2 linked regions of the Schizosaccharomyces pombe genome follow. Changing the gene in region 1 together with any one later gene gives a genetic interaction. Each region holds a gene or a part of one and is shown on either strand. Other genes may lie near its edges. The genes, in order: exg2 and fus1.

Region 1 (4,185 bases):
GGTCGTATCATAAAGCCAGGAGCTCAGCCTTTAAAACATGTTAAGAATGGAGATAAAGTATTACCCTTGTATGATGAAGAAGCTACGCAGTTGTACACTCCGAAACCGGTTGTTGCGAACATTGTTCCTAAAAATGCATACGGAAACATCGATTTATATGTCCCTTCAATGTTGCCATATGGAGCATATCATTGTAGAAAACGTTGTGCTTTGGCAGCAGCTAAATTTTTAGAGATTGACTATGCAAAAGCAGTTGTTGGATTTGATTTTCAACGGAAGTACTCAAAGCCTAAATTAGAGGGAGTTGTTGTTTCTAAGCGTTATGAAGAGGCTATCGATCTCATTGCAGAGGAGATAGACCAGGAAGAAAAAGAAGCAGAGGCAAGGAATGTAAGAAAGACTTGTCTTTTATTATGGAAGCGACTGATTACAGGCCTTCGGATTCGTCAGCGTGTATTCGAAGAATACGGTTAATTGATAAATTCGATTTTCCTAATCTACGAGCTCAATGATGGAATCATTTTACAAAGTACCTGGCTACACATTCTTAGTGTTATCTACATCAAGGTTGTTATTTATTTTTTATTGTAATACGAAGTTTGAATTGTTATCATATATTTCTTTGTATATATATATTAGTACACAAATAAAGATGAGCGATCATGACTTTAAAATTCTATAGAATTCAGGGGTCTTTAATAAGTACCTTTATATTGACATAAATTAAAATAAAAGATTGATATTATCCAAAGAACAATGCTTGCATTTTCTAATTACCATCAAAATTCAGATTGCTCGTCAAACTCCATGAAAGATTTAGAATCAAGCATGCTGCAATTGAAATCCTTCGTTGTAGAGTAAGCCAAGCGAGGCAACAAACCTGCCAGCCATGATTTTTTGTAACTCCATTGAGTGGCATTTTCGGTGTCCCAGTTCCAATAAAACCAGCCCCATGTTTTGTCAAATGTTTCAATTTGTGAAGTAGCTAAAGCATATAGAAACTTTCGATAAGAATCCTCGTAATTTTCGGGGTCCTGATTTGCGAAGTCGCAACGACAACCAACTTTTTCAGAACAACTGGCAACACCTCCATTAGGAGTAAAAGTGCCGTCCCATCGAGCACCCTCTCCAACATTATTTAAAAACTTAGCACAATCTGTATCCGCAAGGCTCCACTCTCCTATAATCGTCGGTAATTTGGCCTTTAACTTCATTTCTTCGTTCCATGACTTACATATCACATTAAGTTTATCTTTTGGCCTCAAACCAATTAAGAAATCATTAAAAATGATATACCTATGTACATCGATAAGTATGTTTGGGAAGTGAAATGGATCAAAATGATCTTCCCAATTACCTGGACCACGAAATCCATCACTAAGTGATATTAGACCTGTAAAATTAGATTGGCGAATTACCGCATAGGCTTGCTTATGCCAATCAGTAATTTTGTGCTCATCAAGAACGAAGAAATTTGGTTCGTTAAGTGCACCGTATATTGTAACGACATTTCTATACCGTTTCTGAGAGAAAAAAGAAGCAAGTCTTTCATGAATTTTTAGTGTGAATTGAGAATTTTCCTCGCCTTTCACTGTGCCATCCAACCACTCCATTTGATTCAAATATCCACCGTGATTCCAAGAGTTTTGGTTACCAGGTGCGGCGTGTAAATCAAGATTAACTCTTAATCCTTGCTCACGAGCCCATTCGATAGATCTAAGTAGATATCTCCACCCAATACCCGAGACATTAGTTATTTCATTACTGTAAAGAATCCAATATGGAAAGGTAATCCGAACATGATCCAAACCTGCTTCCCTAATTTCGTAAAATGTTTGTTTCGTGACAAATGTATTGTAATGGTTCTCAATAACGCTGGTGGCATTTTCCCCCAAATATGCGTGTAGACTCAATTCATCTTTTACTAAGTATGCAGTTTCATTTTTCACTTGGAAAAAAGATGGAGTAATAAATGGTTCCATTGAAAGCCATCCACCTAGATTTACACCTCTAATGGGAAGTCGACCGTACGGAAAAGGCTCGTTCAAAGGAGGGACATTAGGATTTGCCTGAACGGAATCATCATATTTATCAAATATTCCCATTGTATATAATCCAGCGAACGTTTCGTTCGTAAAACTTGTATTGAAATCAGATGTATCAAGCCAAGTATTGGTGTCCAAAAGCGAGTTTTTAGCCCATTCAGGTACTTGAGTGGAATTAAATATCTCATCAATTATATTTACGCCTAAATTAGTGGTTTCCATATTTGTGTCTTTAATTTTTCGATCTGACTGAGCGTGAGGAATAATAACTAAAAATATAAGAGGAAGAATAATTGACAGGAAAACACATAGGGAAACAAAAAATGTAAGGAGGATAGTAATAAGAAGAGCCTTCTTGTCAATTTCTCTACACCTTTTAGATGTAAAGTCATCAACACCGAGTGATTTAGAGTCACAAGATGACTCAGCTTCTAAAAGATTGCTCATATTTTATCAATAAAAAGAAAGAAAGATATTTTGATCCAATTATTAAAAGAAGGAACTACCGGGCCCTTGACAAGAAAAGAAACAAAGATAATGATACAACTCTTCAAAGGGAGGAAAGAAAGGAAGAACGTGCTTCAAACAAAAAATATGAACATGTAGTCATCAAACAGTATTTAAATTGCAAAACTATTACAATAATACCGATCCATCATTGTGACGTTAGCGGTGGAACATGCATATAAGTTAGCAGTTAACAAGTCATAAACATAATAAAAAGTTAATAACAATCTAAAAATATAAGTAAATTTCCAATAATTAAACGTAAAAGTGTTAAGTGCTTTCTGAAAGTTTTTGACGATATTCGTCGATCATTTTATCAACCCGACTTTTTTCTTGAATAATTTTTTCCTCTTTCAATCTCTTAGTACTTTGAAAAGAAGTCACTTCCTCCGTAAATGTTTCATGCAAAGCTTCAATCTCCTCACGGCTTTCCTCATATGACTTGGAAACTTCTTCCAGATCTTTACAGGCTTTAAGAAATTTCTCGTAAAGTGCCTCATAAATCGCCAAAGATACCAAGTTATCATTGGGATTTTGCAATGGTAAATCAGTTTGATAACCAATATTAGTTGTTTGAACTTCAGGTACGGGTATGGGAGGAAGTTTATGCTGCTTTAAAGCACGCGGAATCGGAGCTTGTAGATCGTGATCTTTCATTACATTTAGTTCAGAATTAAGGTTGAGTGTAGAGGAAGAATACCCATTATGTGCGGAGTGAAAGGCTTCAGCTTGAAGTGGTTGCAAATCATTGGAGTTAGGTGATTGATTAGAGTTATTTTGGAAATTATTTAGCGTAGAGTATTGAGAATTTTGAAAAGAAGAGACTCTGTTGTTAGTAGTGTTTTGCTTGTAGTTTACGCCATTAAGAGGTCCTTCAGAAACGACCCGCCTTGTTTGTTTTGGGGAAGGAGGATGGTGCAGCTGAAAAACTTCCCTAGCTTCAAGAGATAAATGTTCAACTGCATGATAGATTTCAAAAACATAACCCCTCGGTGCTACGACAGCCGATATAGAAGCAAAAAATTGGACATGTTCCTGATAATCTCCACTGAGTTTAGGAAGCAAAATTTGTACAATCGAGAAAAAAACAGACAACATTTTTAGCTTCATTTGAGAGAATTCAGAGAAAATATTTTTTAATTTTTCATTACACTCTTTTGGTGAGAAAGAATAAGCATCGTAATCGATTTGTTGAAGTCGTTTACAGAACTGCTCTTCAATTATATAACCAGCTTTCTCCGGGATTCGATCCTTTACATAAAATAAAAATGATCCAAATAGTATTTTGGATGGAACAGATTCTAATGAAAGCGATTGATAAGGATTTTCTGCAATCGACGTACTGAGACAAACCATTTCCTTTTCCTCGTCTTTAGAAAAATTTGCTAGAACATCTTCAATACTGTCTTTAATTGAGAAAGCCGCTTCATAACGTTTTAAACCAAAAACCAAATCATCGTAAACAGCGTCTTGGGGGGATTGCTTTCGTAAACTTTCTTGAATAGGCGGATTAGGCAATGGTTTTTCCATTTAAATATATCAGAAAAGTAAATTTCAATCGGTATGGAACACCCAATCAACAAATAGTAGATAAGCGTTTCAAGGAAATCTTCACTTTAGAATTGCGTTGTAG
Region 2 (7,484 bases), 220 kb from region 1:
GATACGAAGACGATGTGATGAATGTCAAGCCTTCAGTAAACGTATTGTCTAATAGGTTAAATCATTTACCAGTTGAAGCATTGGAATCTTGCTTTCCACAAACCACTTTGGAGTCCTCCACGTTTGCTGATTTTTGTGAGCACAAAGATGGAACCGGTAACTTGTCTTTTAGCAACTTTGATAGCTTTCCCACAGTCCAAAGGTCAAGATATGCAAGTGATTTTGAAGAACTTGAGTTACTTGGTAAAGGCGGTTATGGTTCAGTGTATAAAGCTCGAAATAAATTCGATGGAGTTGAATATGCTTTAAAAAAAATTCCACTTCGGTTACGTTCTTTCTCCACTTCTTCTAACATATTCCGTGAATCTAGGACCTTGGCAAGATTAAACCATCCCAATGTGATAAGATTCTTTTCTAGTTGGGTCGAGCTCTTACCGTCATCTGAAAAGCAAATCGAAGAAGAACCTTTAGCTTCGGCAGATGAGACATTATCTCAATCAGCAGATATAGATAATTTTATGTTTGATATGGATACTGGGTTACTTCAGCATACTTATCCTTCATCAGTTCAGATACTATTCCAAGAGGACTCGGTTGCAGATGATTTAACTCCTTGTTACTCTACCAAAAATTCGACTTGCAACTTGACTGATCTTTTCAAGAAAGAGGCCGATCAGGATTATGCCGAGTCACATGATTGTTCTTCAACAACATCACAAGTCGACACATTAGGAAAGTTGGCGCCAACGAAGTCAGCTTCTGAAATGTTACTTATGGATTCATTTCTATCCGAAAGAGAGGAAGATGAATGTTCCAATATTCCCAGCTTTGATCAACAGCCCTTATGTTTGTACATACAAATGGCTCTTTGCGAAGAAACACTCGAGAAACACATAAACAGACGAAATAAGCATATTCACGGTGTAATGTCTAAAGGCCTACGTAACTGTTATATTTTACTGTTTGCAAGGATTTTAGAGGGCGTTTTGTATCTTCACGATGCTATGCATTTAGTCCATCGTGATTTGAAACCTCGAAATATTTTTCTATCTAGTGGTGTACATTCTGAGCCTTGCTCTGTGTGTCTACCTAATTTTTCTGATGAAGATAATGTTGAGGTTAGCAATGCGTACGAACCAGTGAACCAAAGAACTTTATGTGTTGTGCCCAAGATAGGCGATTTCGGTCTTGTTCTTTCTCAGTCAGATAATTTGGAAGAGGGGACCAACTCCTCAGCTGAATCTTCTTTTGTCGGTACAAGTACGTATGCAGCTCCTGAACTTTTCTCAAAACACATGCGATCGGTAATGAATAACAACTCGTCTACTGACATATATGCATTGGGCATACTCTTTTTTGAATTACTGTATCCTTTTAACACGCGCATGGAAAGGGCATCAGCTATCGCCAATTTAAAAAAGGGCATTTTCCCCCATGATTTCTTGGATTCCATGCCAGAGGAAGCTAGCTTAATCCGGTCAATGCTCAGCTCTTCGAATAAGCGCCCAACTGCTGCTCAACTTTTGACTAGCAATCTATTTCATGATTTGGTAGTCAATGAGCTTCATGTATATCAAGCTTTATTGGAAGATGCTGAGAAACGAAATAACAATTTGAAAGCAGAACTAAACATACTTCGAGTTTTAAACCCCAATTACGACTGTTAGTATTAGTTACGAACTACTTTGGACTGCTTCAATTGTTTTTACAATTCGCTTTTGACAAGATTTAGTTGTTTATGTTATTTTATGTTTATATTTCCTACGTTTTATGTTTATCCACTGTTATGATTTGTTTATAGTGAGTTATCTTCCATGCTCTTGGAATGGTTTTTGGAGCTTTTAGGTGCGAAAGAGTAGTCTGCATTAAAGATTTTTCTTATTTTAATATATTAAATTGAAAGTTCATCTTGTACATTTTTTCGTTGCTAGTTTTCAGTTCAACAGTCTGATTGATTTTTTTAAGTTTTCTTGATCTTGATCTTGTACTCAAAATGTTTATCCTTTTTAATCAAACTGTCTTTCATTTATGGAAAACAAATATCAATCAAGCTATAAATTAAACAGCAGAAGCGATTGTTTAATTTTAGCGTGATAGTAAACTAGCACTTCATTAGGCGCCTTATTCTAAAGACACAGTATGTACGCCACCCTCTCAATGTCTTTTAAAAAACATTTATTAATAAATATAAACTAGAATGGACACTAAACTTATTTCCAGCATTATTCAGTTAATTCTGATATGGACTACTTTCAAGTTGTCGCTTTCCAATTACGTTTGTGTTTGAGCTTGAACTTATCGGAAAACTAAATAGTTTTCGAACACAGTTAGTATTTCTTTGTTCTTTAACGGGTACAATAAAATGGATCGTTGCATATGTAATTGTTGCTTTGAATCATATTACGTCGGTTAAACCGAACAAAGAAAGTTATGTTCTAAATACTCAGTAATTTTCTAGTAAGTCTTTTACCTTACTTCTTATATCTGAACTCAAAAAGGATTGTTTACGAGCAAAAAACCTTGTTTCTGTAATTATAGGACATATTATTGATGGTTTCACCTTTTTTAGCTATTGCTTGTTAATGATGACGGCTAGTTTTAAAGGTATCAGAATCTCTAAACCAATTGTTAAAGAAATTTCATCGTTTGGGTCTCTAACAAACATTGATTTACACACTGACCCATATGAAAAAGTCGAAGCAAAAGCATTATCGCGAAGCAGATTAAAAAACCAAAGCGTAAAGAAAACAGACCTTCGTATTACAAATGATTACTCTTCACTATTTGTGAGTATTGAAAACAAAAAAAACACTATTCCGGATATTCATTGCAACAATTTATCAAAAAGACCTGTTGGATTTACCGATTCATATGTACCAGGCGAAGCGCTTCTATGTCCGGATGACCCGAATTTAGTGAATGAATTATTCGATGATGTTTTAAAAAGATTACGCGAAGAAAAATCTGATTCTGGTGAGCAGTTTCATTGGGACGCGAACGTTACACTCTCTCAAGAAAACAAATGGTCTTTCATCACTGGCTATTTATCGAGAAACGATAAATTTTTAAAAATATCATCAAACGATTCTGAACTAAATGTCAAGGCATCCGTCATTTCCTATATTGAAAAGTTAAGCTGTACACCGTTGAAGCTCAAGTACGTGGAATCTTTGGCGGTTGCATTGAGAACCGAATCAGTTACCTGGGTTCGATATTTTCTTTTGATGGGTGGACACATAGTACTTGCTAAAATATTGCAGGCAATTCATGAGAAGAAACATCTAAAAAGTCCTGACATAACTTTAGAAATTGCAATCCTCAAAAGCATGAGGTGTATTATAGGACAGAAGATTGGGACTGATTTCTATCTGAGTAATAAGTATCCTATCGATTCAGTTGTTCACTGCCTCCTGTCAACTAAATTACTAGTAAGGAAACTAGCTGCCGAATTACTTACTTTTCTTTGTTACTCAGAAAAGCCGAACGGAATCAACGCAATTATGAAATGTATGAAAAACTTTGCAAATTTGAAAGTCGAGTCTATGAACGTCTTTGATTTATGGCTTTCTCAATGGAAAAGAACACTCTTAGAGAAAGTTGTTACTGAAGAAAAGAAAGTACTAGAAGAAGCGGCCTTACATGATAAAATAACTATTGAGTATATCATTTCACAAATGCTTCTTATAAATGCATTTCTTGAAAATATCCCATCTAAAACTGCTTTACTCCAGTTCAAGGAATCCTTGAGAATAGGGAATTTCAAAAGCATTTTACTCATTCTAAAAAAAATAAATGATGAAGGAGTATTAAAACAACTCGAGAAATGCGTGAAACTCGTATCATTAGACACTGCTAATGAGAAACATTTTTTAAAGCACACTCCAAATTCTGCTGCTCATCAATCCCTTTTAAACACAAACATGTTTAATGATGCAAATTTCGAATTTATGGTTAAAGAGCATATTAAAAATTTTTTAAAACTTTTGAAAGAGCACAACAACCCCGTCCGTATTATAAAGTTACTTGATTGTTTAGTGCTTACTTTACAAGCTGATAAAGGGAATGGTAATTCAAATAATGATATTGATTGCTTTTATAAGGAATTAAAGATTGGAAACGAGCAAGGGAACAACGCTCCGGGGTACTCAAGTGTTACGTCTGGCTACGGTACTACCAATAGCAAAAAAGTTGTCGCATCATATGATAATACTGATGATAATGAATACAGCGTCTCCAAATCAGAACTTTATGCTACTGGTGATACTAATAACACTACAAATCAAGGATATGAGAATTCCGAAAGAAAGTATGTGGAAAGTTCGAAGTATGAAACCGATCTGAAAAATATCTTTGATTGTTTGTGTTTGTTGTTTCCATCAGAGTTTGATCCTCAATCTTCCTTTTCAGCCGAAAAAATTTTTAGTAAACTAAAGCACTTACTGACGCGTACGCGCGATTCATACATTTCCGAAGATACCAAAATTCTTCGATTATTGAACCGATCAAGTAGTAAACTGCAAGATCGTGACCAAGAGTATTTAATTTCTAAAAACAATGTGAATGGAAATGGAAACAGAGATTGGGTTCAACCCGTGAACACTACCTCTAGCGTTAGTGCTTTTGCTTCACCAAGGATAAAACCTAAACTGCTTTTTCAACCAAATCAGGATGAAAAATTAAAACTTTGCAAATTAGATCTAGCTAAAGCAAACTCAATCACTTTAAAATCCGAGCCATCTTCCGCTGTTTCAACGCATTCTTTTGAGGTTCATCTGAGTATGCCAGGAACACAAATAAAAAGTGCTAACTTAGCAGAAAAAATGGAAACTTCAAAACACAAGGTTTTTAATCCAAAAAGGATTGATGTTGTTAGTGATCTTCCCTTAGACTATCGAAAGTCGTACTATGGCCGATTTTCCATAACTGATACCAAGAGGTTTTCTAAAATAGAAAATATGAGAATCAAAGAAGTTATTGATGGGAATCCATTCAAAGCTCCACCTCCTGCACCATTACCACCTCCTGCACCTCCTTTACCAACTGCAATGTCTTCTCTCCAGAAATTTGAAAAAAATGATTCACAAATTTTTCGGAAGACGATAATTATTCCCGAAAATATTTCAATCGATGACATATTTAAATTCTGTTCAGGTTCAGAGTCTGAAGTGTATGCAAGCAAAATTCCTGGTGAGCTATGCAATCCTTCTAAACGGCTAAAGCAGCTTCATTGGAAACGCCTCGAAGTTCCTTTCGAAAAAACTCTATGGAATATTGTAGTTGCAGATCCTTATTTATTAACTTTAAAACTTACTGCGGAAGGGATTTTTAAGCAACTCGAAGATTGTTATCCATTGAGAGAAGTAACAGTTTCCAATAAAAAAGTTAAGGAATATACCGGATTTATGCCAGTTGATTTACAGCAAATGGTTAGTATTCGTTTGCATAGATTCAATTCCTTGACACCAATTGAAATTGCCAAAAAATTTTTTCATTGCGACCATGATATCATGGAACTAGTCGATTTTTTTAATGACCGAAAGTTTTTTCGACAAGAAGGTCTTAAAAAGCAACTAAAGCCTTATATGTCATCTCGAAACGAAGAGGTAATGGAAGTAAGTGAAAAGCTTTTAGAATTGTCTCGTTTCGATCAAATTTATACGTTAATTGTTGTTGACATTGATACTTATTACGAAAAAAGAATGGCAGCTTTAAAAATCAAATCGTTTCTGGCCAACAACTTTAGGGATTTTAGAAGACAAATAAGGAAACTTCATTGTGCTTCTTTAGAGTTGAAATCTAGTTTGCATTTCAAGTATTTTTTAAATTTGGTCCTTCATATTGGCAATTTTATGAATGATGCACCCCGTCGAGCTAAAGGGTATCGATTGGAAAGTTTACTAAGAGCTTCCATGATTAAAAATGACAAAACAGGATTAACACTTCTTCATACTATTGAAAAAATAGTTCGGACTCACTTTCCACAATTGGAAGCTTTTCTCGTGGATTTGAAAGCCATTCCCGAGATTTCCAGATTTAATTTGGAGCAGTTGGAGCAGGATTGTAATGATATTTGTGAACGGATGAAAAATGTTGAAAAGGACTTTAGCAATGAAGGCATTTTTTCGAATCATAAAGCTCTTCATCCTGATGACCATATCTGTGAAGTCATGGTTCCATGGATTCCATCAGGAAAATCAATGGTGGATGAACTTAATTCTGATATTACTGAACTAAAAACAACCCTTAAAACAACTCTCTTAATGTATGGTGAAAATCCAGATGAACCTACATCGAGTGCTAGGTTTTTCAATAATTTAAACGAAATAATACTGGAGTACAAAAAGGCTAGCACTGTAAATCAGAAGATGGAGAAGGAAGAAGAACTTGCTTTTCTAAGACTACAAGCTTTAAAAGCATCTGTTAAAAGCAATAATGCAGAAAATAGTGGTTCTTCAAAGAATGAGGAAGTTTCAGCAACAATGGAAAATTTAATATCTCAGCTACAGAAAGGTTTGTGTGATGATTCTTTAAGCAACAAAACCGATTGCACTGAATCATCGAAACAAACAATCGAAACTCTAATGAATTATGAAAATGATAAACAAACTCTAGAAGGCTCAAATAAAAAGAGACAAACAGTCGTCCTTAAAGCTGAATGCATGCTTAAGCAGCTGGAGAATAACAATGAACTTAAGAGATAATGATGTTTGAAATGTTAATGACTTTTAATGACAATTAAATGACTTAAACAAATTATAATGAAATTATAATTAATAAAAGGTATAATTATTAATTCTAGTAAGACTGTAATGCTTGTTAAAGATAGAATTAAGCATCTAAAGGATAACTTTTCTAGTAATCTATTTTGCTCGGGAAATCTTAAAGTAATCAGTAAATACATCAGTTCCAACTTTTAATGATTCTTGAACGTCGTCCCAGGTACTACGCTTTTCCTCTTCTCGAGTTCCCCTATTTTTTTTGTCTTCTTTGAGCCATTCCAAACATGTCTCTAGAAGGGCGCTATTTCCCGTAGAGGACCTTGTCATCAGAGCACCAAACTTGGATATTGGTCCATAATCCACGATACGCCCAAGACTGAGATGGACCAAGTGAGTTGGCCACTCAGCTAAACCATCAAATATATGTGTTGCATAAACAATAGTAGCATTCCTTACTTCCGTTTCCTCTTGCAAAAAATTTAACAAATCTGCCCGGGCAAGAACATCCAAATCTACAGTTACTTCATCAAGTAAAAGTACTTCAAATGGACGCAGAAGTCCCATACATAGTTGAACACGTCGTCTTTCACCATCGGACACTGCATGCATTCGCCAACGAAGATCTATATCAAGAATTGAAATCAAGAAATCCCTACGTTCGGCAAATTTATCTCCTCCAACAGAAGCAATTAATCGTGCAACACTCATATCCCTATGTATAACAGGGTTGTTAACCCATTCTACAAACGCACACATCAGTAAAAT

What was found.
Region 2: of exg2 (region 1) and fus1, changing one enhances a phenotype caused by changing the other (phenotypic enhancement), as found in Schizosaccharomyces pombe (one study listed by BioGRID).

The regions. Positions count from the first base shown.
Region 1 is NC_003424.3:4,590,162-4,594,346, reverse strand, and holds exg2 (glucan glucosidase exg2), read right to left. Parts: upstream 2,493-4,185; coding exon 780-2,492; downstream 1-779. Other genes in the region: DNA repair protein Rhp41, read left to right, coding at 1-474; protein Nod1, read right to left, coding at 2,823-4,082.
Region 2 is NC_003424.3:4,812,442-4,819,925, reverse strand, and holds fus1 (formin Fus1), read left to right. Parts: upstream 1-2,139; 5' UTR 2,140-2,582; coding exon 2,583-6,701; 3' UTR 6,702-6,815; downstream 6,816-7,484. Other genes in the region: eIF2 alpha kinase Hri1, read left to right, coding at 1-1,667; CCR4-Not complex subunit Caf16, read right to left, coding at 6,861-7,459. UniProt on the Schizosaccharomyces pombe protein: Required for cell fusion. It associates with the pre-zygotic projection tips in conjugating cells.